Tamandua tetradactyla: one gene and its partners. The protein of the gene in region 1 interacts with the protein of each later gene in a biochemical or structural test. Links are inferred from orthologs where the notes say so. Each region holds a gene or a part of one and is shown on either strand. Other genes may lie near its edges. The genes, in order: PML, MAPK7, RNF4 and SENP1.

Region 1 (8,260 bases):
AAACCCAAATCCTACCATACCTCCTATCCCCCTTCCCTATTACTGACCCATAGTACTGGTGTGGTACATTTGTTACTGTTGAGGAAAATATATTAAGATAATACTATTAACTGTAGTCCATAGTTTGCAATAAGTACATTTTTCCTTACACCCCTGTATTATTAACTCTTTGCAATTGTCACAATTTGTTCTAGTTCATGAAAGAGATTTTTTTAAAATATATATATTTGTACAGTCACTCACAGTTATCTTGGAACAGACTAGAAGGGATGACATCTTAGTTTTGTAGGCTACCATACAAAGTACCTACCACAAGATTCACTGTGTTATACATTATCATGTTTTAACCTCCAACTTTCTTTCTGTTGACATACATGACTCTAAATTTCCCATTTTCACCGCATTCACACGCAGTTCAGCACCATTAATTATTTGGACAATAATGTGTTACTGTCACCTCTATAAATTTCCAAATGTTTAAGTTCACCCTAGTTAAATATTCTGCATGTATTAAGCAACCGCTCCCCATTCTTCAGCCTCACTCTATTTCCTGGCAACCAATATTCCATATTTTATGTCTATGAGTTTACATATTATAATTAGCTCATGTCAATAACATCATACAATATTTGTCCTTTTGTGTCTGACTTAATTCACTTAATGCCCTCAATCCATATTGTTGCATACTTCAGGACTGCATTCCTTCTTACAGCTCAATACTATTCTATCATATGTAGATACCACATTTAGTTTGATGGACTCTTGAGTTGTTTCCATCTTTTGGCAATTGTGAATAATGCTGTTGTGAACATCGGTGCGCGGATGTCTGAATATCTGTGTGGAGATATCTGTTTGTGTCCTTGCTTCCAGAAGTGGGTATATCCTGAGTAGCAGAATTGCCCAACTATAAGGCAACTCTATGCTTAGCTTCCTGAGGAACCTCCAAACTGTCCTCCACAGCAGCCGTACCGTTTTACATTCCCCTTAGCCATGAATAAGAGTTCCTGTTTGTCCACATCCTCTCCAACACTTGCAGTTTTCTGTTTGTTTGATAACAGCCATTCTAGTAGGTATAAGATGATATGTAATTGTGATTTTCATTTGCATTTCCCTGATAGCTATGAGGCTGGTCATTTTTTTTAATGCGCTTTTTAGCTATTTGGAGCAGTACCCATTTTTCTGCTCAGTTCCAACTTGTAACAGACTAGAAGGGATGACATCTTAGTTTTGTAGGCCTACCATAACAAAGCACCTACCACAAACTAGGTGGTTTAAAACAACAGAAATTTATTGTATCACAGTTTTGGAGGCTAGAAGACCAAAAGCAAGGGGTCAGCAGTGCCAAGCTCCCTCTGAACCTGTAGGGGAAAATACTTTCTTGCCTCTTCCACCTCCTGGTATTTGCCAGCAGTCCTTGACTTGCAGCTGCAGCATTTCAATCTATGCTTCGGTTGTCACATGGCATTCCCCCCTCTTGTGTCTGCCCATCTCTACCCAAATTTCCTTCTCTTATAAGGACAGCACTCATAGTGAATTAGAGCCCACCCTAATTCACTTTGGCCGCATCTTAACTATTTATATCTTCAAAGATTCGCTTTCCAAATAAGGTCACATTCACGGGACTAGAAATTAGCCCTTCAACATATTTTGGGGGGGGGGGAAACAATTCAGCCTATAATATATGATGTCAGGGCCTTGCTCTTGTGAAGTTTATAATCTGGGGGTAATTTATAATCCATTTCCCAGGGACTGGGAGGCCTGTGGTGGCCCAGGGCCTGGGCCCCTTCCTAAACAGCGTGCAACAAGCCTGCTTTAGCTAAAAAAGTAAACAATTTCTCTGGAGGTGGAAGATTGTAATCAGATGTAAAATCGCCATTGATGGTATCAAACACTAATCTCATAAAGTACCAATGCTTAAGTCCCTTTAATGATTCTATCAGAAGCCTGATGTTCTCATACTATACGGAATATCTTTGTTCTGAAATCATATTGCCCCTTGTTCCCTCAGTCCTGCATGGAGCACTATTCCTCCAGACCGGCTGCCACCCGAGAATCTCTCCTGTTTGTAAGTCCCAATAACTCTCCTGCGCCTGGCATGTTTTTTCGGTCTCACAGCAGCACCAGCCCATGCTGTCCACGAATAGGTCTGCACCAGAACAAGGCCTCAAAATAGCCTTAGCCTCCAGCCAGGATAGCAGCCTGCTGTACCCTCCAGTCTCGTCAGAACCCCCAGGGTTTAGAATCAGGCTGCTCTCTGAGAACCCAACTAAGAAAAGCTAGAGAAGGTGGGCAGCCCTGGAAGTGGACTATGGCAAAGGGCTGAGGGGCCTGGGAGCCAGGACTAGCCTGTGGCTGAGACAAGGAAAGGAAAGTTTTATTCTTTTCTTTGCTTCCTTTGAAAGACAGCCTGCTCTGAACCTGACCAACACCCAGTTGGGCGCGGTTGCTTCTCAGAGTAAATTCCTCATTTGCATTTGGGTTTTCTCAAGCCTTGGAGAGGCAAGTTACCTCTGGGTAACTGGATCAAGGGCCATGGTGTTTCCCAACAGGCAGGACTGAGGAGCTCTCCTCTGTGATGCTCTGAAGGACCTGCCCTCTGGATAGCTCCAGGCTACCCGCCTTCCTTACTCTGTCTTTCTCCTTGAAGTCTACACATGGAATTTTCTCTTTTGGAGCCAAAGTTCAGGCATCCCCCGCCCCCGCCTTGACCACAGTGACCTGGTAAGGACTTCATTCAACAAGTAAGTACTGAGCATCTGCCATCTCCTAGTTGCTGGAGAAACATTAAGCCTAGATAAGGAAAACTAGTCACCCCTCCTACCCATCCCCTGGGTCCCGCCCCAGTGGAAGAGAGTTTACAGACGGAATGCTGTGAAAGCTGATAACAGCATATCCCTGATTCGAGAGAAGATTCGGCCCTGAAAACCACCTTACAAAGCCCAACTTTCTTCCTGCTCCTTTTCTAAGGCCGCGGAGGAGACAAGAGGAGCAGGCGCGGACCCCTGTCTGCTCCCAGGAAAGCCGACCCCCGCCCGGTAGCCGCAGTTCGGTCCTCCAAGGGCAGGGGGCGCAGTGCAACGCTGGGAGCGGGGCCTGCCTGCCTCTCCCTCCTGTGCACCGGCAGCGACGGGTGGCCGCGCAGGTGAAGCCGGAAGCGGCGGCCCGAGCGCAAGCGCGGCGGGGGCGGGGCAGTAGGGCCCGCCGTTCAGCCGGGCTCTGCCTGGGGCGTGGGGCGTGTCACCTGGCAAGCGCCATGCTCGGCAGGTCTGGCTACCGGGCGCTGCCCTTGGGGGACTTTGACCGCTTCCAGCAGTCGAGCTTTGGTTTCCTGGGCTCGCAGAAGGGCTGCTTGTCCCCGGAGCCGGGCGGCGTCGGGCCGGGGGCGGGTGAGTGGCCGCCCAGCACGGCGGGCCTCGGGGTGGGGTTCGGTACTGGCCGGCGCACGCAGGCCCCAGCCCCTGTACCTGTTGGGAGTCGGCGGACCTGGCGTCCTGGAGCTCCAAGAGGATGGATGGAGAGGGGTCCTGGACCTGGTATTAGGGTGCCGGCGTTGTTGCATCCTACCTGGTGGGACCACTGGGCTGCGGCCCCGGAGCCAGCGCTGCTTCCATCTTACAAAGCCTTACCCCACCACATGTCTCCTCTGCCTTTATCTGCCTTCTACGCCTGGACAGAGAGTTCAAGACCTTATTTTGCAGTGTAGGCAGAGGAGGTCACCAGCACCTTAAGGATACTTGACTGCAGAGAAGTGAAAAAATCTTCACCCCAGAGGTCACCTCTGGAAGCCCTGGGACCAGGCGTCTCCCTGTTTCCCTATTTCCTGGTGCTGCTGGGACCTCAGAGCCCTACACTGTCTCTTATGTAGTTTCCTTGGCTTGCAGGCTTGATGCTCCACTTCTCAGCATGACAACCAAATTCTGGCCTTACTCTACTGTGCTTATCCCAGGGTTTCTGTTTCTTCTGCAGGGATCATGTAGATCACAGCCAAGCAGGGAATGAGACTTAGATCCCCCGTTGCTTGGAGAGCCATGGCATTCCTGGAAAGATGGAGCAGAGACATGCCTGTTTCTTATCCAGGGTTGGGAAAGGAGAAAGCAGAGTAATTTTATCCCATAGTCTGGGCCTGTCTGGGCTGCACTCCCATCATGGGATCCTGCCTGGTTCTCCTCCAGGGATCAGGATCTCTGCTCAGATGAGCCTCATTTTCTGAGGGCCTCCCGCCACCTCCCACCTGAAGCTGCTTGAAAGTAAATTGTGTATGTGATAGTCCTTAGGAATAGTGAACTAGAAAAGAACACTCTTTCTGTTCATGAGCCATTAATGTTTTATCCCTTTTAGGCCAAGATGTTCTCTCCAAACCCTAGGAGTGATGGTAGAGGAAGAGTATGTTATGTTTGCAGCATTCAGTTCAACCCAGCATGCAGTTACAGAGGCCCATGTGCTCTTGGCTGTGTGCCAGGTATAAGTAGGCAACGTGAGTTAGACAGGGGATTGACACCTTCTCTTCCCAGTGAGGTGAGCATCTTGTGAATTGGATTGCCAGATTCAATGGCTGTTGCATAGCAGAAAATAGAGCCTTGTGGGCCTGGGACTTGGGACTAGTTTTTTGTTTTGTTTTGTTTTTTGGCTTTTAAAAGGGGGAATTTAAGAAGTTACAAGTTTGCAATTCTAAGGAAGTGAAAGTGTCCAAACTAAGGTGCCAACAAGAGGTTGCCCTTACTCAAGAAAGGCTGATGGGTCAGAAACACATCTGTCAGCTGGGTAGTCATGTGGCTGGCATCTGCTGGGCCCTTTGCTCCTGAGCTCTGTTGCTTTCAGCCTATGTCCCTGTGGGCGTTCCTCACTTTACTTCTCTGGGGCTGGCCTTCATTTCTTGGCTTCCCTTGGCTCTCTCCAGGTTCTGGCTTGCTTAACATCTCATGGCAGTGTCTGTGGGCTCCAAGCATCTCTAAACATCGCGTCTCCTTTCTCCACTTGGGGCAAGTTAGTTTTAATGCATGGAAAGAGAGAACAGTTCCTACCTAGGGCCATTAGACCAGGAGGCTAATTGAAAGCCTTGAGAAAGAAGGCACCTCTGAAGCAGGAGGTAGGCAACTTGACTACCTTCCCTCAGCCTGTGGCTGTCCTGCCTTGGCATTCTATGACTCACTTTGCTCTCTCCCCCAGAGGTGCCCCAGAGCTGGTCCTCCTGCCTCTGCCACAGCCTCATCAGTTTCCTGGGGTTCTTGCTGCTGCTACTGACCTTCCCCATTTCTGGCTGGTTTGCCCTGAAGGTAAGGCTGGGCCTCCTTGACCGCTTTGGCATCCATGAATGAATCCCTCTTCCTCTGCCCCCTCCTCCTAAATATTCCACTGTCTCACCTTTGTGAAATGAGCTGGGCAAAGCTTGTTCATTCCATTTTCCAGATGAGGAAACTGAGGCTCAGACTTGTCCAAACTCCTCCCGGGCACTAGTAAGTGTTAGAAACAAGTCTCCCCAAACCCCCAAGTCCTGGGCACTGCTTTAATTTATGGTTCACTTGGATATGTTTGCCAAATCTTCCTCCCTTTGAGTCGGGTCAAATTAGAAATGAAAAAGAAATCAACTTGGCCTAGGAGGTAATGAGTAATAAGGAATTCAGGCACTGCTTTCAGCAAGATGTGGTGTAGATGGGAAAAGGATGATTAATAGGGTTGTCAGTGAAGATTATGCCTGAAAGCAGCAGTAAAGTTGAAAGTCTGCCCTTTGGGTGTCCCTAAGCCTCTGGGTTTAGTGTGGCCTAGAAGAGAGTCATTAGAAGGTTCTAGAGCCTGGTTCTAAAACCACCACTGAAGCAAACGCTTTATGACCTTGGCCCAAGGTCCTTTTGGGCCTTCATTTTTCAATTTGGACAAATCTCCTTCCCTGAGGGCTCCAGGCATCAAAAGTTGGCAAAGGCAGATGGTTTCTTGGCATGAGCTTCAGACAGCAGTGGTGAGAAGTTTCCCTGAGGATCAAGTCAGTACAGTGTGGTGGATAGAGCATGGCCTTTGGAATCATTCGGAACTGAATTCACACCTTGCCTATTTTACTTAGTGGCTGTGTGTTTTTGAGCAAGTCACTTGATGTCTCTGAGCCTTGGTTTTCTCATCTAAGAACAGAACTAAGGATACACTCTGACCAGGTGAGGGAGAGAGAGGTGCCAGAGGGACCTGGGTAGAAGTCATTGGCTGGCCTGAACTCACCACTCTAAATCCTCTCCCTTGCCGTTGTGGACAGATCGTGCCCACCTACGAGCGGATGATTGTGTTCCGACTGGGCCGTATCCGCACCCCCCAGGGCCCTGGTATGGTCTTGCTTCTGCCTTTCATTGACTCCTTCCAGAGGGTGGATCTGAGGACACGCGCCTTCAGTGTCCCTCCCTGCAAGGTGAGAGACGAAGGGAGTAGGGGCTTGTGCAGAGTGTAGTGTGGGTACCAGGGCCTTGGCCTGTGAGTAGCCAACTGGGGAGGGAGGGAAGATGAGACCAGAGGATTGAAGACAGACACTGGAAGGACATCCTCGTGCCACATACCTAGCCCCACGTACCTGAGGGCCAGCTGCCGGGTGGCTGGGTCAGGCCGGGTGCTGCCAGCAGGCCCGGTCTCCCTGCACCTCCCAGCCTCTTGGCCTGGTCCTCTCGTGTGTCCTCCCTCGTGGCTTCCCCTAACAGCTGGCCTCTAAGGACGGGGCAGTGCTGTCTGTGGGGGCTGACGTCCAGTTCCGCATCTGGGACCCGGTGCTGTCGGTGATGACTGTGAAGGACCTCAACACAGCCACGCGCATGACAGCCCAGAATGCCATGACCAAGGCCCTGCTCAAGCGGCCGCTGCGGGAGATCCAGATGGAGAAGCTCAAAATCAGCGACCAGCTCCTGGTAAGCAGCCCAGCTGCCCCGCCTCGAGGAGCAGAGCTGGCCCCCGGCCCCTATGTGTGGCTCTGCCTGCTGGGTCACTTTGAGCAGAGCACAGGTTCCTCTGGGCCTCAGTGTTCCGTATATCATATGAGTGGACTAGCCTTTGAAGATCCGGTGAGACTGTGCTTTGAGGAACGGCAGGTGGGTCCAGAGCCCAGCCAGCTTGGGCAAACATGTTGCTAAGGAGTGAAGTGGCCCTAAGAAGAGGAAGTAACTTGGGTGGAAATTCCTGGCACCCTGGCCCTTTCTGCTGTTATTTTACCCTTCACTGCTCTGCTGGGCCCGGTGGTTGCTGTGACAACAGTGGGCCTCAGGGAACCTCTGTACCCCTTGGGCCCCAGGTCTGACTCATCTCGTGGGACAGGCCGATGGGTGAAGAGCACGTTCCTTTCCATGGCCCAGTCACCTCCTGGGCATGTGCACTTTTGTGCTTTTGCTTTCTTTGTTCTGAATAGAAGAAAGTAATGTGCAAATATTTGGACCCTTTTCCTGTCTCTCCTCCATATATATGAGAATTTATTTACCCTGGAATAGCCATCTTGAGCCCTTGCTGCAGAAAGATAGAGTAGAAGTAAATGCACACTCCTGAAAAAATAATATTCATAATAGTAATAATGCTCTAAGGTACACAGCATTTTATAAAGTCCTTTTGCCTGCCCCTATGTATCTCAGCTTCACATTTTTGCTGCAAGAAGCTAGGTGGTATTGTTTTATTTTGGAGGGAGGAAACTTGAGGTTCAGAGAAATTACTTGACTGGCCTTTAAGGCGTGGTCAAGGGCAGAGCTGGGCCAGAGTGCCAGACCACGTGACACCCACCCCCCCACCTCAATCCAGTGCTGATTTGAACACAACTCATTAACAGGTTGATAGCAATTTTTAGTTGTAAACATGCACACCTTTAAAACACCCTTAAGAAGGGAAAATTGACCTCAGCATTGTAGCACACTGCCTTGCTGTAAGAGAGGTAGTTTGGGGAAAATCAGTCCCACACTGGGATGTTAGACTTGTTTAGTGCCCATTGCCCAGATGGAGTTGGTTGGCACCTGGTAGTGTAAGGTCAGTGTCTCTGGCTAAAACTGAATCTTAGGAACTATTTTCAGGTGTATGGATCTAATTCTCCCTCTTTTGGCTACCTTCCATTTCACCTGGGTCCCTCCTTAGGGGCTTACCCATTCCTGTAGGGCTGACAGCTTCCACCTTTGATGCCTCCTCCACCTCCACCCCCACCCCGACCCCAGCTCCCACTCTGCAGCAGGCCTTGCCTCTTGATCCTCGGGAGGAAAAACTTTAGACCAGAGCTCTTTCACCCTCTTCCCAGCTTCCTCCCTCAACCTCATCTACATCT
Region 2 (8,099 bases), on another chromosome or scaffold:
AAAAAAAAAAAAGCAAGTTTTCAAAGTACTCTTCACCAAGTAGTTACAGGACAGATCCCAGAGTTTGTCATGGGCTACCAAACCATCCTCTCAAATTTTTCCTTCTAGGTGCTCCAGAATATAGGAAGGAATAAATATTTTTATTCTTCTAGTTAGGTCTTTCATCCATTTTGACTTCATTTTGTATATGGTGTGAGGCAGGACTACATCTACATTTTTTTCTAAGTGGGCATCCAGTTGTCCCAGACCCCCTTGTTGACTATTTTCTCCCCATTGAATGTACTTGGCACCCTTGTGGGAAATCATTTGGCAATAAATGTGTGAGTTTATTTCTGGGGTCTTCATTCTATGCCTTTGGTCTACATTTGTTTATCCTTATGCCTATACCACACAAGTTTTTTTTGTTGTTGTTTGTTTTTTTCTGCATGGGCAGGCACCAGTAATTGAACCCATGTCTCTGGCATGGCAGGCGAGAACTCTGCCTGCTGAGCCATTGTGGCCCACCCCACACAGTTCTGATTATGGCAAATTTGTAGGGAGTTTTGAAATTGGGAAGTGTGAGACCTCCAACTTTTTCTTCCTTTCCAAAATTGTTCTGCCTATCTAGGGCTTACTGCAATTTCATATAAATTTGAGGACTGGCTTTTCCATTCTGCAAAGAAGGCTGATGAATTTTGATAGGGATTGCATTGAATCTGTAGATCACTTTGAGTAGTACTGACATCTTAATGATATTAAGTCTTCCAATGCATGGACTCAACACATTTAATATAATCTAGAGGAAATAAATTCTTACAATCAAATTACCTAAATGATTCAAGAGGAAAGAAAATCTTAAAAAAAAAAAAAAAGATTTAGGTCTTTAATTTTTTTCAGCAATGTCTTGTAGTTTTCAGTGTACATGTCTTTCACCTCCTGGGTTAAATTTATTCCTAGATATTTTATTCTTTTAGATGCTCTCATAAATGGAGTTGTTTACTTGATTTCTATTTTAGATTGCTCATTGTTGATGCATAGAAATACCAGATTTTTGCACATTGGTCTTGTACCCTGCAACCTTGCTGCATTGGCTTAATAGCTCCGGTGGTTTTCTTCGGGATTTGTCAGGATTTTCTCTTATATAAGATCATGTCTTCTGTGAATAGTTTTACTTCCTCCTTTCAAATTTAGATGACTTTCATTTCTTGTTTTTCCCTAATTGCTCTGGCTAGAACTTCCAGTTCAATATTGAAGCACAATGGTGACAGTGGGCATCCTTGCCTTGTTCCTGTTTTTAGGGGGAAAACCTTCAGTCTTTCACTATTGAATATAATGCTAGATGTGTGTTTTTCATAAGTGCCATTTATCATGTTGAGGAAGTTCTTCCCTATTTCTCATTTTCTGAGTGTTATCATGAAAGAGTATTGGATATTGTCAGATGCTTTCTTGCATCAAGATCATCCTTTCCTCCACTTTGTTATATTAATGTGGTTTATTACACTGATTTCCTTATGTTGAGCCGACCTTGCATTCCTGCAATAAATCCCACTTAGACATGGTGCATAATCCTTGTGATATGCTGTTGGAGTTGACAGCATTTTGTTGATGATTTTTGCATCTATATTTATAAGGGATACTGGTCTGTAATTTTCTTGTGATGTCTTTTTCTGGCTTTGCTACAAGGATAATGTTGGCCTCACAGAATGAGCTACAAAGCATTTCCTTCTCATTTTTTCTTTTTTTTTTTTGGAAATATTTGAGAAGGATTGATATTCTTAATTCTTTGAATGTCTGGTAGAATTTACCAGTGGAGATAATTGGTCCTGGACTTTTCTTTGTTGGGACGTTTTCTCATTCCTGATAAAAACTTTTTACTTGTAATATTCTTTTTTTTAAGATTTTCTTTTGTCTTGATTCATGTAGGTAATTTGTTTGTAAGAATTTGCCATTTCATCCAGATTATATTAAATTTGTTGGGATACTTCCATAGTATTGCCTTATAGTCTTTATTTCTATAAGGTCAGTAGTAACGCCCCACTCTCATTTCTGATTTTAGTTATTTGTGTCTTCACTCTTTTTCTTTGGTCAGTTTAACTAATGGTCTGTCAATTTTATTCATCTTTTCAAAGATCTAACTTTTGGCTTTGTTGAATCTCTCAATTGCTTTTCTAGTCTCTAATTCATTTATCTCCACTCTCATTTTTATTATTTACTTCTCCTCACTTTGGGTCTAAATCTTCTTTTTCCTAAAGATGTGAAGTTAGGTTATTGATTTGAAATCTTTTCTAGTATAGAAGTTTACATCTATACATTTTGAGCACTCTTTGCTGCATCCAGAAAGTTTGGGTATGTTATGTTTTTATTTCCATTAATCTCTAAGAACTTTCTAATATCCTTGTGATTTCTTCTTTGACCTGTTGGTTGGTTAAGAATGTGTTGATTTTCACATATTTGTCAATTCTCCAGTTTTGTTTCTTGATTTCTCGTTTCATTCCATATGACTAGAGAAGGTACTTTGCATGAGTTCAATCATTTAAAATTTAATGGAACTGGTTTTGTAACTTAATGTATTATCTAAGCTGAAAAATGGTTCGTGTGCACTGGAGAAGAATGTGTATTCTGGAATTGTTGGCTGGAGCATCACATATACGCCTGTTACGTCTGGTTGGTTTATAGTCACCTATTTCACTATTTATCTTCTGTTGAGTTCTCTACCCATTATTGAAAGTGGTGTATTGAAATCTCCAACTATTACTGTAAAACTGTCTCCCTTCAATTCATATATTTTTGGGTCCTGTTATTAGGTACATACATGTTTAAACTGCTACAACTTTGTGATGAATTGACACTATTGTCAATATATATTTTCTTTGTCTCTTGTAACAGTTTTTAACTAAAGTCTATTTTGTTTGATATTAGAATACCCACCCCAACTCTCTTTTGGTTATTATTTGCATGGAATTTTTTCCTACATTTTGGCTCACACTTTTTAAAAATCCATCTTGCCTTTCTCTGTCTTTGACTGAAGAGTGTAATCCATTTATATTTAATAAAATTACCGATAAGCTAGGGCTTCAAACATTTACCACTTTTTTGTATGTTTTGCATCTTATACTTTTGTCACTCAGTTCCTCCATTACTCTCTGTCTGCTTTTTGAAGCAATCTAATACTTCTAATTTTTTTTTTATCTTTTTTTTTTTTTTTTTTTGCAGGACCTAATATATTTTTCCTGACCCTGAACTTCCCTATTTTATTGTAGGCATCTCAGTAAAGCTTTCAAAACTTAGTGTTAAAAAGAAAAGTGGGGTAAAAAAAAAAAAAGCGTGGAAAAGAGTTAACAGAAATAACTGCCACCATCAGAAAAGAAGAGGGGCTTCTGAGGGGCTCGTCAAGTTCTTTTTCTTCTCTGAATGCATATTAAAACAGGTTATGTTCAATTTGTAAACTGTATTGCGCTGTACACATGATATGTGAAATTTTCTATACGTAGGTTTTAGTGAGATGTAAAAGTAAAAACAGCCAGGTAAATCGGTGGGGAATATCAATAGGGGAAAAATGAGCAAAGGCTTACCAAAACTCATTTCTCGCCTAGATCCAGTCCGTCAGCCACTGGTCTGCGACCTCAGGAATACACAAACCCTCGGCCTGGCACTCAGGCTCTAATGATCGAACCTCATCCAGATCTCTGCGTTCCTCTACTTTCCTACCTCCTCACTCCCCGTTTCCCCAGCTTCCTGAGCCCCTCCTCCTTTTCAACTCGCTTGCGGGAAACCCAGCCATCTCCAGAGTCCTAACTCCAAAACCACTTCTTCTTTACCGCCCTACCTCGAATTCTCCTATGAAAACTTTTCCTTCCAGTTCACAGCGCCACCACGCTCGCCCTTGCTCCTCAGCATGAGCCTTAGAGGGACCGTGCTCCCCAAGTGTTTTGCCACGCGAACGAAGGAACTGTCGGGCTCCGGAATGGCTCAGGGGACTCGCTCCCAGGGCGGGCTCGGTATTCTCGCGTGTCAGTTGCCCTCACGTCTCTGAGGATGGACGGCTCGGCCCGCGGCCCAAAGTGCGGGAGAGAGAAGAAAGCACCGACCCGCAAAGAACAGAACACGGAGCTGAGGCCCAAGGATGCCGGAAGCTGTGCGGACAGGCCCAGCAACCGGAAGTCAGTGGCGGCTATCCGCCGGCCGCTCTAGACGCCCGGAGGACCGAAACCTCTATGGTTGGACCCGACGCGCCTCGCCGCGATTCCCGCCTCTACCGGGAAAGATGGACTTCTAGAGCCGGCCTCCGGGGAACGAGAAATTGGGGTCTTCACAATCCCCGGGGCGATGCGGACCGTTAAGTCAACAGGAGCCAAAAGGCGGAGGATTTCGGAACCCGTCTCCAAGGTAACAGTCCTACGCCTCACAGCTCTTCCGGCCGACAGCCGCCCGACAGCCGCCCGACGAGCCCTTGAGCTCCTGGGACAATCTCGGATTGGCCGCGAGGGCGCCGAGCCTAGATGCGCGCAGGCGCGTGCAGGCGCGGGGGCGTGGCCTTCCATTCACGCCGCGCCTGGGACTCCAGCGCGCATGCGTCAGGGACGACGCCGGGCGAAGGCTCACTCACGCGAAGCAAGGTACACACACACCCTTCGGGCGGCTCCTGCCAGGGGACCCGGACAGTGGCGCGCGCGCGCGCGCGCGTGCAGGCGGGAGGAGTGGCTTCCTCCGCAGGGAGCGTCGGATTGGACGCTACGCGTAGGAGGGGCGGGACCCTCCCCAGAAACTGCCTGGCGATTGGCTAGGCGTTGGATGGGCGTGGTTTAGGGGGCCGGGCGGGCAGAGCGCGACGCTGAGGTGGTGGCGGCGGCGGGCCTTGAATAAGTGAGCGACTCTCGGCATCCCCCTCCGTGGGGAAGGGAGGCCCGGGGAGGCCTGGCAGCCTGCGGGAGCCCTGAGGAGGCGTCGGGGTGCGGCTCCGCTCGGTGAGTGTGGACCCGAGGGAAACCCCAAGTGCCCCGCCCCTTCCTTTCTTCCTGGGCCGCGGCTTGCGGCCTCCCCACCCTGACCCTCCGTGTAACCCTTGACCCTGTGCTCAGGACCCCAACTCGCAGGTGTAACCCGTCTGCTCCGCGCCCAGCCGCTCTGTTTCGACCCCCGATCCGGCCTTCCCCCCACCCCCTTGCTTTAGAGGACTTGGAGATGCCCCGATCTGACCACCTAGCCCACAGAGGGGAAACTGAGGCCCACGGGATGCGCGCCCCTCTTGACCAGCGTCTCCATGCAGACGCCATGGCCGAGCCCCTGAAGGAGGAGGACGGCGAGGATGGCGCCGCGGAGCCCCCGGGGCGGGTGAAGGCGGAACCCGCCCACCCCTCAGCCTCCGTGGTGGCCAAGAACCTGGCCCTGCTCAAAGCGCGCTCCTTCGACGTGACCTTCGACGTTGGGGACGAGTACGAGATCATCGAGACCATAGGCAACGGGGCCTACGGGGTGGTGTCGTCTGCGCGCCGCCGCCTGACGGGTATGCCGGGTTGGGGTGAGGAACCACCTCCTGCCTCCCTTCTCTTCCCCCAGGACAGGGGGTGAGTCAGCCTCTCACACGTATGGAAGCCGGTTCCCAGGGAGAGAAACCCGGCCAGGCTCAGTTTGGAAGGAAAATCGGGATATGGAGTTCAGTGTGCAAATCAGCAAGTATTGATTAGGTGCCGGCTGTCTGCCAGGATCCATCGGGTCCAGCCCCCTGAGTGTCTGATCCGGTGACTTTGCCATCACCCGTAGACGTCTGCTTCCTCTGTTGAAGAATGCCATTTCCTGTGGGGCCAGCACAGAGAGTTCTTGGTGTCTGTGAGAGACATGGATTTCAGAGCCACAGACTGGTGCATGGGATCGGTGTGGGGGGATAGGTGAGGTGCGAGATGGAGGGTGGGGAAGTAGAGCGAGCACAGGTATTAGCCTCTTGGTTCTATCACAGGCTAGCTGCACAACCTCCCAACGAGTTACCGAGCCAGGTTTCCTTGGCCGTAAGCTAAACTGTTGGTGCCTGCTTTGTAGGGGAGTCGTGCCGATCAGATCTGATAACGTGTGTAAAGTGTTCAGCACAAGGTTTCACACGTAGTAAGCTGTTCAGTAAACAGACGCTGTTGCTCTCTGCACCTCAGAAGCCAAGGGGGACCTGGCGTCACTCCACAGCTTCCCCTGGGTAACCTCACCCCCTGAGGTCTGCCTTTTCCCTGTTCCCCAGGCCAGCAGGTGGCCATCAAGAAGATCCCGAATGCTTTTGACGTGGTGACCAATGCAAAGCGGACCCTCAGGGAGCTGAAGATCCTCAAACACTTCAAGCATGACAACATCATTGCCATCAAGGACATCCTGAGGCCCACGGTGCCCTATGGCGAGTTCAAGTCTGTGTAAGGAGCGGGGCTGGGAGAGGGCTGAGCTGGGGCCATACTTTCGAGGTTCTGGAAGGGCAGCAGCATCCAGGGGAAGGCAGGCTGGGAAGATTCCCATGATTCTGGGACAAGCGCTTCTTTAGGGATTTGCCCAGGGAAACTGATATTCTCCAGTAAGGGGGCAGATGTCACAGTGTTAGAGGAACTCAGGGTAGTTAGTCCAGGATGGTGAATCTAGTATGGTGCCACCACTGCCCCTGCCCACACTCATGGCAGGCATCACTAAGCAATCACCAAACGCTTTCCTACAGGAAGTGGACAAGGCTCTGCAGTTTTCCTCATAGTCCTTCAATTAGTCACTGCCAGACAGTGGATATGGCCCCCAAACAAAAACCTATTGGCTATACCCAGTTTACTCAAGCCCCTCTTTTGTCTGATGGGGAAACTAGATCCAGGGAGAAAAAAGCTCTAACCAAGTTCATGACTATGTTAGTTTGCTGAAGTTGCTGAAATGCAATATACCAGAAATGGGCTGGCTTTTAGCAATGGGGATTTATTGCTTTACAGCTTACAGTTCTGAGGCTGTGAATTGTCCACATCATTGGGCAGTGCTTTCTCCCCAAAGACCAGCTGCTGGTCTGTCAAGGCGACGTCTTCTGGTCTCTCCCTTCTCTTCTGGGCTTTGTTGCTTTCAGCTTCTGGCTGCTCCGTCTGTGGTTTTCTTTCTGAGCATCTGAGTGGCCTTTCTCTCTCAGTGTCTGTGTTTTTTCCTCTCTCAGCTTTTCTGTCTTTTTGTTACTCATCCTTTTATAAAGGACTCTAGTAACAGGATTAAGACCCACCCTGAGGCAGGCCTCCATGAAATAATATTAACAAAAAGGTCCCACCCACAACAGGTCTACACCCACAGGAATAGGTTAGCGTTAAGTAACTGGTCTTTTCTGGGGTCCATAAAACCTCCACACCATGACAATAACAAAGGCATAGAGACTTTGGAACCTGGATCTCTTTTTCCCTACCATGTTGTTGACTTCTACGGGGACTGGGGGAGAGGGTGTTGAATGGCACAGGTGCAGTGGTGAGGGTGGGGCTAGTCCCTGGACAGGAGAGGGCCAGCCCATGCCTTTCCTTTCACCACCACTCCCCACCCTGCAGCTACGTGGTCCTGGACCTGATGGAGAGTGACCTGCACCAGATCATCCACTCCTCCCAGCCGCTCACACTGGAGCACGTGCGCTACTTCCTGTACCAGCTGCTGCGTGGCCTCAAGTATATGCACTCCGCCCAGGTCATCCACCGCGACCTCAAGCCCTCCAACCTGCTGGTGAATGAGAACTGCGAGCTCAAGATTGGTGACTTCGGGATGGCCCGTGGCCTGTGTACCTCACCTGCCGAGCACCAGTACTTCATGACTGAGTACGTGGCCACGCGCTGGTACCGCGCCCCTGAGCTCATGCTCTCGTTGCATGAGTACACACAGGCCATCGACCTGTGGTCCGTTGGCTGCATCTTCGGCGAGATGCTGGCCCGGCGCCAGCTCTTCCCGGGCAAAAACTACGTGCACCAACTGCAGCTAATCATGATGGTATTGGGCACTCCATCCCCGGCCGTGGTCCAGGCGGTGGGTGCCGAGCGAGTGCGGGCCTACATCCAGAGCCTGCCGCCACGCCAGCCCGTGCCCTGGGAGACGGTGTACCCAGGTGCCGACCGCCATGCCCTGTCTCTCTTGGGCCGCATGCTGCGTTTCGA
Region 3 (7,734 bases), on another chromosome or scaffold:
CAGCTTCTCTTGCACAACAAGTTACTGATAATATTGAGAAGTTTCCAGGCCCTTCCTACTCTTCATGTCTGATACCCAATAAACTCGGCAGTTCTTACTTATGCCTGAAAAAACTAAACAAAACACTTCCAGAGGAAATTTCTGATCCTTGCAGCAGCAACCTCCACTCCCACACTCCCATCCCTATACCCAAACTTCACGTTTTCTCAAACTTGAACCCTTACCTTGGGGCAGAGCTGTGCTCTGGGCCCTTGTTCTCAACGAAAACCTCAAAATGCCTGCAGCCCACCTGAGAAACAGGATCTTGAGGAGAGACAAGCTGAAAGAATACAGATGCAAGTCATACCTCAATGATAAAGGGTCAGCCCAATAACAGTCTATATGAGCGATCTTATCCTTCAAAGACCACAAATTTGGGTACAGTTAAAGATGTAGGTAAATAATTTCAAAATAAAGACAAAACATATACACGCAAATCCATTTTTACACATCATATAAACCAATTACTTTATGCACATATTTTTATTGAGTAGCACCTGGATTTTTTTCCCAGAAGAATTGTAAGCAAAGAACAGTGATTGCCAAGCAACCATCACAGATACCACGTTCCTGACTCCATCATTTCACTCAACCCCTGGCTAAGCTACCTCTATTTCCTCCTAACTGTGGCCCAGGGACCACTATTCTTGTCTACCTTTCTAATTCATCCTTTTCACGAATAGCAGTTTTTCTAAAATGCAAACTGTGTTACTTCTCTGCTTATTAACTCAATTCAGTAGTCTCCCACTGGCCTTAAGATCAAGACCCTTCGTGGTCCGGTGCCTGCTTACCTCTGCAGTTTCAACTCTTGACACACCACATCTCTCTCAACCTATATTTCAACTGCCGGGGATTTTTCTCACTCTCTCCACCTTCCCTACTTAGCTTCACAACGGCCAGCCCCATGTTATCTTGTAACCCAAGCAGAAAGCTTGGCACAGAGATCACCTTAAGAATGTGCTGACTTAGTAAACTAAAGCATGCACTCTCAAAAGAGGCAAAAAATCTCTAATAGCGTTTTTACTAAAAAACACAGACACACATGCAGTACGTTAAAAAAAACAGAAACTGTTTAAAATAAAACAGAGAGAAGATGAAAAACAACAGAATAACAGCAAAATGTGGACAAGTTCAGGAGGCATATGTAGGTATAACAGAAAACTCTGAAAGAAAGGGAGGTGTAGAACGCATATCTGAAAAAAAAAACATAGTATATATGCAGCACAGAAATTTAAAGGTAGAAGTAATTCTGGAAAAAGCCTGAAAGGATGTTAGGGAGTAATCATGGAATAAAGATTGAGAAACACTGTACTAAAGGAACATTTTTGAGTCAGAGCAGAGAGCTCAAAATCAACAGAAAGGCCAGCAGTACATGTTTCCACTTCAACGTTCCCATTTCACCTCAAACGCATGGATAAAATTGAGCCCAACAAGTCTCCCACCCCTTCAAAAGGAAACCATCAGAAAAGCAATTGCTGCCAACATACCCGCCTTTCGTTACCAGTGGCTCCAGAAACTCTCGGTCACTGACCTCAAAAGCCTGGTCCCATAGCCAGGAAACCTGGGCTGTAACGCCAACTAGCTCGGGCAGATCGCTCCACCATTCTGGGCCTCAGTTCCCCGACCACTTAGGGAGCCTAAATTTGAGTGCAAAGACTAAATTTGAGAGCTGAGACCCCGAGTCTGCCTCTGGGCACTCTGCGCCTGAAGACTGCAGAGCTGAGACCCCGAGACTGCCTCTGGGCACTCGGTGCAGGCGCAGAGCGGAGGAAGGATTGGGAATGTGATGGGCTGTAGCAAGGATAAGACAAAAGCCGAAATTTCACACACAAAAAACAGCCACCGCAGGCTCCCCCAGGTTCAATTTCCTTTCCTTCTCCCCGAACGGATCAAAAGGGGGTATTTTTTGTGTATAGTGTTTCGAATCTCAGGCCTTAAGAATCTGAATAATCTCCATACCCCTGACTACAGGGGCGCAGGGGCGGAGTAGGCGCTCCAGGCGCGGGGGCCTGGCCTCCATAGCCTGTTCCCGCCCCACCCCCCCACCCCCGGTAGGAAGGAGCTGCCCGAAGCCGCGCGGCTCCTAGAAGCTAGGCGCCGGGCGGACGCTCTCTGGAGGATCCGACCCCCCCCCCACCCGCACCGTAAGCTTCCCCATTCAAGTCGGGGAAGGGAGCACCCCCAGGTCCAGGCACCGAGGCGGCCACACAGGCCCCGCGACGGCGGCACGACACAAAGGAGGCCTCGCCACCCGGAACAAAACCCCGCAACGGCTCCCCCGGAACGGCCCGCACAGGCCCGCGCCTTAGCCCCGAGCTGCCCCGGCTCGCCTCTCCGAGTGACCTTGGACGCGTCCGGTGCCCTCCCCAAGCCTCAGTTTCCCTCCGTAGGTTACAGGCTAAGCCCACGGCCGGCCCGCTGCGGGGCGCCGAGGGCGGAGGGAGGCCTTCCCATTTCCGCTGCCAGCGCCGGCCTCCGTCCATCCGTGCGGGCCGGAGATCGGGGAGTCGGCCGAGATCCCTGAGGGGGCGGCTCCGAGCTGGCCTGAGTGGCGCCAGGGCAGCTCCCCGAGCCCCTGCAATGAGGCCTGTGCAGGCCGCGAGGCAGCCTGAACCCCGCATCTGCCGGAGCGCCGACTTACCGCTCCCTGCCCGCGACGCCTGGCCTTACGTGGAGCTGGCTTAGTCCCGCAGCGCCGTCGCCAACGAGCCCGCAGAGAAAGCACCTTCGGAAACCGCGGAGGAGAACTAGCAAGACGCCGCCGCCTAAACAGAGGGCTACTTCCGCTCTGGAGACCTCGGCTCCGCCCCTTGCACGTCCCCATTGGTCGCCACAGCCCCTACCTCCTCGGCCAATAGGCGGAGAAATCATATTTTCAATCCTATTGGCTAGGAAAACTATCTATTACTCCTTTGAAAAGGGCTTCCTTCCGGCCCCACCCACGTCCTCCCGCTCAAGCTCCCATGTTTCCGCGAGAGCCGAGGAGGACCGGCTCTCCACCGCGTGGCATCTCGGGAGTTGTGGTGTGTGGGCCGGGGGCGCGTGACTTGGTGACCCCGGCAGCCCGCAGACCGAGCCGGCCCGCTTGTGGTCTGCGGAGCTCAGCGCCCCCCAGTCACTCCTCTTAGGTCACAGTCCGGCACGCCGGACAACGCGTGGGGCTGGACACTAGTCCGCGGCCTAATCCCGTCCTCACCCTGGGCCTCAGTTTCCCTTCCTGTTCAGTAGGCCTTTGCGGAGAGCGTTCCTGGAGCGACGCCCCCAGGCTGCCCGCCGGAAACTGGCCCTGGATCTGCAGCCTCTCCGGGGAGCCCGCGACCCACGATGAGCCAGGCCCTGGGCCCGGCGAATCCGTCTCTCTCCCGGCGAGGGCCTGATCCCGGGACCCTTTCGCGGCCGCCTGGAAAGGAAGCGTATGAGCGGGAACCCGAGGAGGCACGGCAGCTGGAAGGCCGGGAGGGCTCCCGGCAGAAGAGACCTGGGGGCTGGAAGGAGAGCGCTCCAGCAAGAGGGGTCCTGTGTCCCAGAACCCTGATACGTCCAGGAAGCTGAAGGCTGCGCAGTGTGCCCGGAGGCAGGTTGGGGAGCAGGTGTGCCAGGTGGGAGGGTAGTGGGTCAGAAAAGTCAGAGCTGAACCCGTGGAGGAGCACTGAGACGGGGTCGAGGTTTCGAAAGAGACCGTGACCGAGGCAGGGGCTTTAGTGGCTGACGCCTGGAGCTGTCAGGAGCTTCTGGGGGGCATTTCAGGCAACTCCAGGCTCAAAAGAGTGCATACTTCCCGGGTTTGAATCCCAGCGCCGTCATTTAATCAAGTCTCAACTGTTGGGTTATCCTCAGAGGGAGAACGTGGGGCACACATCGCACAGCAGTGTACAGGGCATGCCAGGCCCTGGGTGAGGGCTACAGGTCAGAATCGGACAGGAGGCATCGGTCTAGGACCTGGACCCAGGCCTGGACTTGGGCTTGGAGGGACTGTTGCCGTGGCAACCAGGAAAAGGAACCCAGCTTGTCCCTGTTGACCATCATCTGTGGTGCCTAGGCACCCCCAGGCAGTAAGGACACCCCAAATGCTGTCTCCTCAAGGGATCTTCAATCCAGGAATATTGAGTTAGGTGAGGATCATACCAGCAGATCATAACCAGAGCATGAGTAGTTTTGAGTTACATGGACCAATAATCTGCTTGAATTTCATGTAATCTGCTTCCATTGTAAAATATGGGTTGAAGGTTTGAGTTTTTGAAAAATTTTAAATTGTGAAATATAACATATATAAAAAAGGCAATAAATTTCAAAGTGTATTGTAGCAAGTTCTTATGGAACAGATTCCAGAGTTCAGTATGGATTACAGTGCCACAATTTTAGGTTTTTCCTTCTAACTGCTCCAAGCACTGGAGACTAAACAGAATATCAATATAATGTTTATAATATAATATAAATCATACTCATTTGTTAAATCCTATCTTCTTCCTTACGACTCCTCCTCCTCCTTTGATACTTCTCCCAATCTTTACGGATATTTGGGCTATGCCCATTCTAACGTTTTCATGTTGAAAGAGGGTGTCAATAATAAGGGATGGGGGGTGGAACTAGTTGAGGTACTTGAAGAGGCTGTCCCCTCTGGGTTTCAGGACTTATCTAGCAGGAACCATCTTAAGCTTGTAGGTTTCTGGAAAGTAATCTTAGTGCATGAAACTTTTGCAGACTTTTAGAGCCCTAGGCTCTCTTTAGGTTTAACAGGAAAGGTGTTGGTTGGACTTTGGCACACCAGGGTAATTAGCAATATCTAGCTGAAGCTTGCATAAGAGAGTAGCCTTCAGAATAGCCTCTTGACTCTATTTGAACTCTCTGAGCTACTGATAAAATTATTTTGTAACATTTCTTTTCCCCCTCTTGGTCAGGAAGGCATTGTCAATCCCAGGGCGCCAGGGCCAGGCTCATCCCTGGGAGTCCAGTCCCATGTTGCCATAAACCTCCACCCTTGGATGTCATGTCCCATGTAGCAGGGAGGGTAATGATTTTACTTGCAGGACTGGGCTTAGAGAGAAAGAGGCCACATCTGAGCAACAAAAGAGGTTTTCTGGCAGTAACTCTTAGGCATAACTATAGGTAGGCTTTGTTTCTTGGCTACAGAAATAAGCTTTATAAGCGCAAGCCTCAAGATCAAGTCCATGGCCTTGACTTGGGAGTCCCTAAAGTTTGAGACAGTCTTAGGGGTTTCCCTGATAGTAAAGCCTAATAGTTCCATAGTTTTCTCCTGTCCCTCAAGGCACTTTGCCAATACTTTTTAATTAACTGCCCAACATACTCTGGGATGTATCCAGGCCTTACATTAAGCTATACAGAATAACAAGCCCTCATTCCCATTCTGGGCTCTGTGTGTTTGGGTTGTTTAAATGATCTGTCCAGATAGGTTGAGTTAGAGTATGTGCTACAGAAAATTTAGATTTTGGACAAAATAAACCTCTCTTTCTTTGGTCTCATACAGTAGATGAAGTTCTAAAATACGATGTCATTGTTTACCCTGTATTCTAATTGACCTTAGTCCCGACCAGATCAGCTTCATTCTTCTCTGTCCTTGAAGCCTGAACTCTTTTTTGGTTTCCTTAACAGTTGTGGTATGTAGCAATGCTGACTTTTAGCACTGCAGAACTCCAGCTCTGAGTCTTAGGTGTCATACAGATAGCCAAACTTCCAGGGAGATACCTGCTTAAACATATACAGCACAGTAACTCAAAATCTAGAAATAACATTTACAACTCTGGACTAAATGTGACTGCTTTAAGAGCTTACACTAGGCCCCAATTTTCTTACACGTATTTTCTGAAAGAGATCATACTATATTTGTTGTTTTACTTCTGGCTTATTTTGCATGACATAATGTCCCCAAGGTTCATTAACCTTGTTGTATGTCTCATGACTTCATTCTTTCTGTAGCCTCCACAATATCCCATCATGTATACAGCACAGTTTGCCATTCTACTTCTCAGTCAGTGCATTCTTCAGCCACCTTCATCCATTGGGCATCATGTCCAATGCCCAAAGTCAACAGTCCATGTTTCACATTATCCTCACTTAATAGTGTAACATTATACTCTCGATTTTAGGCAATTTTCATTGCTCCAAAGGGAAAAATAACTGATAAACACACTCTCACCACATAGAAATTCCAAACCTCCCCTTAACTCTTGTCCTTCCCCCCAATACTTACCCCTGATATTGCTGTGTTATCGTTGATGGGTTCCTGTTAAACATAGCCCATTGCACGCAAGAGTAGTTTTCCCCCATATGCCTCTATTATGGACTCTCTGTACAAGATCCATATCTTTGAAGTAGTTCATGCAAGAATTTTATATTTGTAATGTTGATCAGTAGGATACCTGGCTCTGTACAACCCGTCATCATGTTCACCTTCAATATGGCATATTACTTTAATGAACCACCTTCATTTCTATCCATTCCCTTATATTTATGTTCAACCTCAGTAGCTAACCCTTCACCCATCTTTAGTTTGTATGTATCTCTAGGTCCCCTATATTCTACATTATAAGCCTGAGTTTACCTTCACTAAGGTTATAATAGCAAGATCATACAGTATCTATCCTTTTGTGTCTGGCTTAATTCACACAGCATTCTGTCTTCAAGTTTCATCCATTTTTGTCATATGCGTAAGGATTTCATTTTGTCTTATTGCCACATGATATTCCATTGTATGTATATACCACATTTTGTTTATCTACTTGTCTGCCCTTGGCTGGGCAGCATTCCAGGACAGCAAGTGGGAGCTCCAAGGCCCCCTGAAGCCTGGGCTCAGAACTGGCACATGGCCACTTCTGCTGTACCCTGTTGGCCAAAGCAAGCCCCAGGGCCAGCCTGGATGCAAGGGCTGGGAGAGGCAGTCTGCACCTCACCGGGAGGAGGTGAAAAGTCACATGGCAAGGGGTGTGTGTACCACCGATCTCCCACACAAGGCCTGTCCAAGGCCTGCTCCCACCCAGGTTTGTTCAGGGCAGGGTCCCTGGAAAAGGCTGTAGGTGCCCTCACACCTTTTCTGAGCAGCTTCCCAGGTCCCCGAGGGCGGGGCAAGGTGGGAAACCTTGTTGATTGCCAACGAACAGTGCTGCCAAAAGCACCCCAATTGTTTTTCTGAGCATCACCTCTCTGCTCCAGGGGTCAGCCTGATAGGTGACAGGTAATTCCTGGTCTTGCCACAGTGCTCGCTTCAGGGACTCCTGCAGACACTCCCCTGCTGCAGGGACTGGCTCAGCAGTGGCATGTTCAGTTCTGACCAGTAGGCAGAGGTGACCAGGGACCTTGCGGACAGAGATGTTTCCTTCCAGAGTGCCAGTAGGGTGAGAAGGCCCCTCTTCCTCTGGATGTGGTCAGGCTAGAACTGCTATCAGCCTAAGTTCAGAATTCTTGGATCAGGCATGTCCTGTAGTCCACTCCATCTTTGGGTTGCCAGCCATGTGAGTTAATTAATCTGCTTCTGAAAACTGGGTGGCAATGGGCTTTCTGTTACTTGCTACTGAAGCCAATTGGAATGGAGCTGAATTCCCAAGGAACTCTGTAGACAAGTCATTAATGTATTCCCTTGATGGCGAATGAAATGATTGTGTATTTTACTGCACAACAGAGGATGTAAGAAATGCCAGGTTTATTTCTCTAAATAAAATTTAATCTGTTCCCAGTCCTCCA
Region 4 (7,635 bases), on another chromosome or scaffold:
ATTCTATTTATGTAACCAGTGTGTGATCATGTGATAACTGCCTTCACTCCCACAAAACTATAAACTTCATAAGGGCAAGAAAGTATCTGTTTTACTATTTTATCCCTAGTGCCAAGTACAATGCCTAACTGTTATATGCCCAACAGATTTTTTTTTGGAAGGAAGGAAGGAAGATGGGGGGGGGGGCAGGGAGGGCAGGAGGAGAGAGAAAAGACATTGGAATAAATTAGCAAGATATTTTATTTCCCTTCTCTAGTGGCAATGTTGGGAGAGTTAAGAGTGGCTCTTACCTGAGGCCTCAATGCTTGAAGCCAATAGTTGAACATCAGAATTTTGTCCATGGGATAATGCTGAGATCAAACCAGAGAGGCAGATCCAAATAAGTCATCAGGGCAAAGGGGGTCTGAGATAGGTATTATTAGTATGGAGCAAAAATGAGAATGGGAAAAGCAGGGAAGATGAGGGCAAATAAGTAATAATCTGTATAAATTTCAGAAACAAGAGGACAAGGCCACCAGTTGGATTTATTTATTGTTTCTGGCAACTTTGTTTTGCATGGGCAGAGCAAGTGTGATTAAAGGGACATAGACCACACATACTTGCCATGCACAAAAAGATATATTTTGATTGCTCCAATATTTGAATAGTTATTTTTATATAAAAATAATGTTCCTGTGAGTCTGGTGAACTCTAGGCACACTAACAAGACAATAAAATTTGAGTTTATGCAATTTCAAAGCTCAGGAGTGGATGGTGCTCTGTGAACATGCTGGAGCTCAGTGAAGCTCTGCCTAAACAGTCATTTGATTTCTCCATTTCCTACTTCTCTATGGCATCTTCTTTTGAAACTGGACGTTTTAGACCAAAGTTATCAAGCTCCTAACTGACACATTGTTTCATATAACCTCTTCTTGGTTGTAAGCTCCTGGGGGATAGGGAGCTTTTTTTTTTTCATTTCTACTGAGCCAACGCATGCACACACACATACACACACACAAACAAAATGACTTCAAATACAAAGTACTGAAAAAAATTTTGCATAAATACTGCTATGTGTTTCAGAGATACTGGGAGAAATTACTCCAATGAAACCACCAACTTGAGAAACTTTTTAAAACCTGCATTTCTTCTGAAAATATAAGGCGGTTGGACTAAGTAATCCCTAAAGTATTTCCAAACTGTAAACTATTGGGACAATGACAAGAATATGTCATATATTTTTTACAACCTATCATTTCTAGTATAATATTGGGCACATAGTGGTAACTCAGTATATGTTTACAGTGAACTAATTCTAATATAGATGTATTTCTATACACACATGTGTTTCTGAAGCATCATGTAAATTGCTTATTAACTGCACATTACTTAAAATATATAAGAGAAATTTGTTATTAAATAGATTCCTAAGGTAAATATTTTCACAAAATTTGGAATCTTTTTTTTTTTTTGCATGGGCAGGCACCAGGAATTGAACCTGGGTCTCCAGCATGGTAGGCAAGAATTCTGCCACTGAGCACTGTCGCACCACCCTGGAATCATTTTTAATATAACTCCTTAACTTAACCCCTTTTTTATTTCACATTTTTACATATCAAGGTTGCTGACATAGGGTAAAACAAATTAGTAGCTTACAGTTATGAGGGAGTAAACTGACTTTTTTTGACTAATGCTATTTTTCATAGAGAAAAATGTTCCTCTTTCTACAGTTTCCCAGCTATCCTCCTACTCTCTTATACATACACACATATACTATCTCCCTAGGTTTTAAGTCATACTTCAGCTTTGGTATCTACCTCAATTTATAATGCTACCCACAAATGTTTCACTTTCCAATAACCTTTCCAAATTTCACCCCTTGTTTACCCATATGCCTCACCGTTTTTCAAAATAGGTATGCCATCCACGGTGCCTGGATCATCCATAGTATTTAGACTCTTCAAGGCATCTGTCTCTGGTGGTGGCTTTTGTATGAGCATGCTTGAGGTTGAAGGTTCCCCAGCTAGGAAGTAGTAGCTTTAGGTTACCCTCAAGGTGGGATTCAGGGAAGGGAATGCTCCTTACTTCCTTCCATTCTCCCTCTAATTCCTGGCTGTCTAGGGCCTTCTTTCCAACAATCCAGTGAAAAATCAGAGAGGTGATGATTCTTTTCAATAACTATCTCACCTCAAAATGGTTCCTTTGATAATAAAACTGGGGAAAAAGTAGGATACATAGTAGACTGGGGTGAAAGAGGCCAGTTTTCTTTTGGAGCTCAATTTATCTTTTAGGTTTTGGAGTATCAATTACAATGGCAACAACTCTCACAGATGAGCCTGGACAGGTTTAAAGAATTCTACAAGCTATCAAAGCTTGTTCTCCTCGATTTCCAAGACCGCCCTATCTGCCTGGGGCCTATCCCCACATACCAGTTCAAAATCTCACCTGATACTTGTACAAAGAAAATATATGACTGAGAGATATAATATCTTGCCATAGTGGTAACAGATAAACAAGTTCAGTTGACCCCAAAGGTCTGTATTAATATGCTGGGGACAATTAAAGTAGCATGTATAAATTCCACCCTCAGCATGCCGGAAACATGCAACATGGCCGCCAGGGCTGAAACAAAGAACAGCCTAAGCTATAATCAGCCTTCTTCACGGAAGTAGTAGTAGTTCACACCAAAAGTACTAGCCATACATCTGCCCTCCACCCTAGCAACAGCAGTCACCAATCCCAAGTCATCCCTTCGTCCTTATTCACCCAATCAGAGATCGCCACCTATCCCTACTAGCTACCCCCTCTCCTTCTAAGTATATATACCCAGCCTTTTCAATAAAATTTTGCAGCTTGATCAGACTACTTGTCTTGCTGTCATTCTTCGCGTCTCTTTGTCCCATTTCATTCTTTCCTCAAAGTAGTTAGAACCTCGGTTGATCGTCCCGCTGGCCAGGACATTAATACTAGTAATCCTGCCTTTGTGATGCCCTGTGAGAGAACTCATTCTCTGTCGCAGAAGTATGATTAGGAGAATGGTACCTGTGCTCTCTGGAGTCCTGACTAACTGTCGAGATTGAATCACACACATGAAAAATTTCAGATGAAATTCCTCTTTATGCATGGTTGTCTCCTAGAAATAGAGGAGAATTCAGATGAAATGAACAGATCTATAGAATGATTAAGATGGACAAAACTGATATGACCGTATATGCTCAAAACTACTAGGCCTTAGAACTTGACAGCAACAAAAATATTAAAATATGTGAAGTAATAAAAGTAACCTACTCTTATGCTTTTGATAGGACATGATCCCCTGAACTCATCAAGCACCCTCTTTTTCCTGCTGCTGAGAGTATCTTTTCTGATACTCCAGACACCTTCCTTAAGTTTGACCTCAGATGGTAGCTGTGAACTAGATCTGGAGTGAGTACATAGATTAATTCTTCAAGACTTTAGCCATGGCCTAGGTCCAAGGCCCAGCCAAGCTGAGGGGGCTTCATAAATGATCCGAATTAAAGACATGCTTCTTTCCATTATTTTCTTTTAAAAAGTACAGCACAGTTTACAAGTTGACCAATGGGGTTCAAGGTACATCAAGGCCACTTAGTCCATCAGAGGTTACAGTCTCCTGGGTTCTTTCCTATCTCTTCTTAGAAAAGTAGATCTTTCGTGGGTTATCTATAGTTTTCCTGACATGTGTGCCTGTGTTTCAAACTGCCCCAGATTTCTAGAAGATTCTACATGTCCCCAGAGTCTAAACTAAACCCTTCCCAAGAGCTTTCTTTTTGCCGGATGGCCAGTCAAGCATGCTGTAGTGCAAACAGTACAGGATTACAAATTTGTAAACTTGTTTCCCAGTCCCAGATATGCCATGCACTTTATAACTTTGGGAAAACAATTCGCTCCTCTCATCGGTTGGAATAAAATATTTCCAATAATCTCTAACTAACGTTCTGCGACTCTCGATAAAACACGGTACAGCCTGAGATTCGACTTAAAATTCAGGTCCCCATCTGTCGGGGACGCCAAACGCTCCCGCAAAATCTAGGACCACAGCAAAAAGCAGCCATAGAAATCGGAGAGTAAGCAAAAATGGCCGTGCGGAACCAGAAGGTGGCGGATACGGAGGCCGAGGGAGCAGAGAAAAGCTGAGGACGGAGAGCGCACTAATAATATTCCAATAATCAGAAACAGAAAGAGCCAAAACTGAAACTTGAAAAGGGAAATTATAACCACAGCCTTTGATGCGCTCGCCACACTGCGCAGGCGTTCCGTAGGTCCTCAACTCTGATCTTTGACCTCCTGCCCCCACCCCACCCCACCCCTTCTCTGGCCCCCTCCTCCGCAGCCACCGAGCCGCTCTTCCGGTGTTGTAGAGGTGGTTCCGGTTCGTGGCGGTTCCCGGGTTTTGCGTTCCGCGCCCGGCCGGAAACCCCTTCGCATAGCAGCCGGTTCCGGTTCGGTGAGTGGCGGCGGGAAGCTGGGGGAGGGGTGAGGATGGAGGGAGCCTGGGCCGCGAGGCAGTGCCGGACCGGGCCGGCCGGTTTGGGCTGGGCGAGGCAGAAGGGGGAACTGCTGAGGCGCCGGCATCTTTTCCTCTGCCCCGCCCCCTGGGACACCCCCCACCTCCCACCCCCCTGCTGTCCACCAGCCGCGGTCAGGCCGGCGGCCGTTAGTTAGGCTTCTGAGGTCGTTCCTTCAGGCCTTCTCCCGGACCGCGCAGAGTCTGCCCCCCTCCCGGTATCGCAGGCCCCGTCTCGTGCTCGGCCTTACTTGTGGGTTAAGGCCGGTTGGGACTCCCGGGCTTTCCCGCCAGAGCGGGGGCTTCTTTCAGGGGAAAGCTGTTTTCGTCGGGAAGCTCAGCTTTCCGTCACTCTTGCTTCACCTCCCGCCTTCCTTGAGACTTGAGGGAGCTTTCTCGACTACTACTGCGATTCACGTCAACATTTCTCCAACTCTTTCACTCAGTGATATTTCCCTGAGATGTGATAATCGCTAGTTCCACCGCCAGAAACAAACGTCTGGACCTTCCTGTCCGGGTTGTGAAAATCCCCTTAACTGCCACAGTTTGCTTACCTGGCTCATCGCCTCCTGGTAATCCCCTTGAACCGTCTCTTTCTTGGTGTGCTCTAACGTGATCTCTCCGGATATATGCTCAGTTTCTCTTTTCTTGAGCTTGGTGATTTCTCTTTATCGGTGCCTCTGCAGTATTTCCACTATCCGTTGGCAATAACTTTACACTTTATCACTTTTAAGCCAGCCCAGTTAAAGTTATTTCCCTTCACGTTTGGTACTTTTGATATTTGGGATGGTGATTCTTGTAACATTAATAAAGAGCCTTTCATAGGCTACCAATTATTTGACTTAAAAGTCCTTGTTCTAATTGGATATCCTAAATGGAGTAAATCTCATCATCTCCCAAATCTTTATCCTTCATAAAAATATTTTGTGTTAAGGACTCGTGTTGGAATGCTGATTACATGGCATTAAGAAAATACAGTTACAGTTAAACCTTAAGCATGATCTCTTAATCTTTCAGTTTAGAGATTCCTGTCTTTTTTTTCGTCCAGTCCCTTTCAGGAAGCCTCATTCTTTTTTGTTTTGAGAAACCTCATTCATCTTTACCTGATTCCAATTAATTATCCCCACTGAGAGGATGTTCTTGGTGTCACCCATCTGATGAGTTAAGTATAGAGGGAGTGAATGGATTTCAAAACAGGTTCTGCTACTTCAGGCTTAAGTGATGTAACTCTTGACTCCTGATATGGGAGCCCTTTTTTCCTCCTGACTCCCTCACCTACCAGTTGCACCACTTTATTGTCTTGCTATGGGTCTGTTTATGGATTTAGCTTCCCCCACTAGACAGTGAGTTTCTCAGTGCCAGGGACCATCTTTGAATACCCAGTACCCTGCACAGCCTGTAGTTGACAGTGTTTGCTGTGTGAAAGAAGTTGAATACTTAGTCTTTCCCTTTTTGTTGTTCTAGTGTCTAATTGGGATATATTACATGTAAAAATATGAAAAACAAAATAAAATTTGTAAGGTTTTAGGACAGATTATACCATTTACGTAATTGTTTTCCAGAGCTCAGGGGAGGGTGATTCATGTGATCATTTCTACAGTCTTCTTATGTCATAAATTGTTCTAATCACGTCTTGATCCTAGCCGAAGCTAATTGTATAATGCTTCTCCTGGTGTATATTTTCCAGTAACTTTATCTTAGCCCTAAACATATTCTTTTTCATACCTCCATACATGTATGCAAACTTTCCAATGCTTTTCCATACTTGTTATATTCTATTACAGTTAGGACTTTACCAACCTTTTTTTTTTCTCTCTCAGATTTCTTATTACCTTGCATTCAGTTACTAACCTGATTTCACCTGATACTTATAACTTCTTATGTTTTTTCAGTAAATTTAAGTGGTCACTGTGTACTAGAAAACTAATTATTAGAATAATTTTCCTAAAAGAACAAAAACTCTTACGCCCACAAAATGCATTTGAGCTACAGGACATGAAAAATCAAAATTGTTGATTTTAAATTGTAGAATCTTTTAAAATTGGATTCACTTATTCCTAATTTCTCAGACACTGACAAGATTATAGAATGTTTTCATTGGTGGCCTCAAAAATTATAGATCGAACATTTCATGGAGAATCTTGAGGTAAAATATCCCTTCCACCAAAGTAATTGTAGATTGGTAAAAATACAAGTACACTGAAGAAGGTGGATGTGTTTTACTAAAATGTGAGTGTGGGACCTTATTTGAAATTATAAATCACTATGGATTCTCCAGGGTTAGTGAGGGATTACTTTTATCTTGCCAGTGTGTATGAGCCCTTAAATGAGGGTATGAAGGGTATGAAGCTTTGTTTGTGAAGGGTGTGAAGTTTGTTTCATAGTGCATTTGCTCAGGAGTCAGGATACCTGGATTCTTGTCCTCGTTTTGTCCTTTATGTGTATGATTTCAGATAAGTCATTTAACCTCTCTGGACATAATCTAAAATTATTTGAATTTCTAGCTTTCTTCCTCTTCATGGCCTTCTAAGGAAAATGCAAAGGAAGTTAACATGAGTGTGTTCTTCTGGGTACCAAATTTTTAATTGACATTCTTCTTAATACCAAGAAAGGGCTAATGATTACAATTATGAGGTCGTTTCGAAAGAGTGAAATGTGAAAAAGCCAGTGTTAATTTATTTATGTTCTCCCTTAATCTAGGGCCCAGGAAATTCTACCTTATTAAAAAATGAAAGAATACCTGGACATTTTCCAGATAAAAGCCTTGTATTAAATGGAGTATTTGAAAATATCTTTGAAGCATAAATCTAAGGCTTAAATTATTTGGGAATCCTCCCTGGCAAGGCTAGGTGATCAGATGATTACTAGTCTTTAACTATGCCAGGAATAACTCAGTCTTCTTTTGTGTGTACATTTTGTTATTGTGACCACAAAGAATGCCTATTACCATCTTCCAGTCTCCTGAATACATTGAAGCCTTAGTATTGCTGTGTAGTTGATGAGGTGCTCAATCTTTTAAAAAATATTGTGGAAGAAAAATACTGTGATATGATTATGAATCTATATAGGTATGAGTAGTACCATCCCTCTTCTTCTCCTCTTGGTAATCTGCTAAGAAGTTCACTTGCCGA

What was found.
Region 2: the proteins of PML (region 1) and MAPK7 form a complex in vitro, tested with the Homo sapiens proteins (2 studies listed by BioGRID and IntAct, with this or other methods). The link is inferred for Tamandua tetradactyla from reciprocal best matches to the Homo sapiens genes PML and MAPK7.
Region 3: of the proteins of PML (region 1) and RNF4, one has a biochemical effect on the other in vitro, tested with the Homo sapiens proteins (3 studies listed by BioGRID, with this or other methods). The link is inferred for Tamandua tetradactyla from reciprocal best matches to the Homo sapiens genes PML and RNF4.
Region 4: of the proteins of PML (region 1) and SENP1, one has a biochemical effect on the other in vitro, tested with the Homo sapiens proteins (2 studies listed by BioGRID). The link is inferred for Tamandua tetradactyla from reciprocal best matches to the Homo sapiens genes PML and SENP1.

The regions. Positions count from the first base shown.
Region 1 is NC_135338.1:68,045,497-68,053,756, forward strand, and holds the start of PML (protein PML), read right to left. Parts: upstream 3,256-8,260; coding exon 3,242-3,255; exon of another isoform or gene 3,155-3,241; intron 3,143-3,154; exon of another isoform or gene 3,105-3,142; intron 2,742-3,104; exon of another isoform or gene 2,426-2,741; intron 2,066-2,425; exon of another isoform or gene 2,009-2,065; intron 1-2,008. Other genes in the region: STOML1 (stomatin-like protein 1), read left to right, coding at 3,254-3,386, 5,167-5,273, 5,407-5,453, 6,056-6,143, 6,239-6,388, 6,672-6,875.
Region 2 is NC_135332.1:2,655,716-2,663,814, reverse strand, and holds the start of MAPK7 (mitogen-activated protein kinase 7), read left to right. Parts: upstream 1-4,603; 5' UTR 4,604-4,943; intron 4,944-5,057; exon of another isoform or gene 5,058-5,149; 5' UTR 5,150-5,160; coding exon 5,161-5,482; intron 5,483-5,492; exon of another isoform or gene 5,493-5,864; intron 5,865-6,202; coding exon 6,203-6,368; intron 6,369-7,505; coding exon 7,506-8,099. UniProt on the Homo sapiens protein: Plays a role in various cellular processes such as proliferation, differentiation and cell survival. The upstream activator of MAPK7 is the MAPK kinase MAP2K5.
Region 3 is NC_135345.1:2,217,775-2,225,508, reverse strand, and holds the start of RNF4 (E3 ubiquitin-protein ligase RNF4), read right to left. Parts: upstream 3,148-7,734; 5' UTR 2,681-3,147; intron 1-2,680. UniProt on the Homo sapiens protein: E3 ubiquitin-protein ligase which binds polysumoylated chains covalently attached to proteins and mediates 'Lys-6'-, 'Lys-11'-, 'Lys-48'- and 'Lys-63'-linked polyubiquitination of those substrates and their subsequent targeting to the proteasome for degradation.
Region 4 is NC_135333.1:108,140,356-108,147,990, reverse strand, and holds the start of SENP1 (sentrin-specific protease 1), read left to right. Parts: upstream 1-4,362; 5' UTR 4,363-4,444; intron 4,445-4,456; exon of another isoform or gene 4,457-4,950; 5' UTR 4,951-5,076; exon of another isoform or gene 5,077-5,160; intron 5,161-7,635. Other genes in the region: PFKM (ATP-dependent 6-phosphofructokinase, muscle type), read right to left, coding at 1,880-2,002, 3,022-3,103. UniProt on the Homo sapiens protein: Protease that catalyzes two essential functions in the SUMO pathway.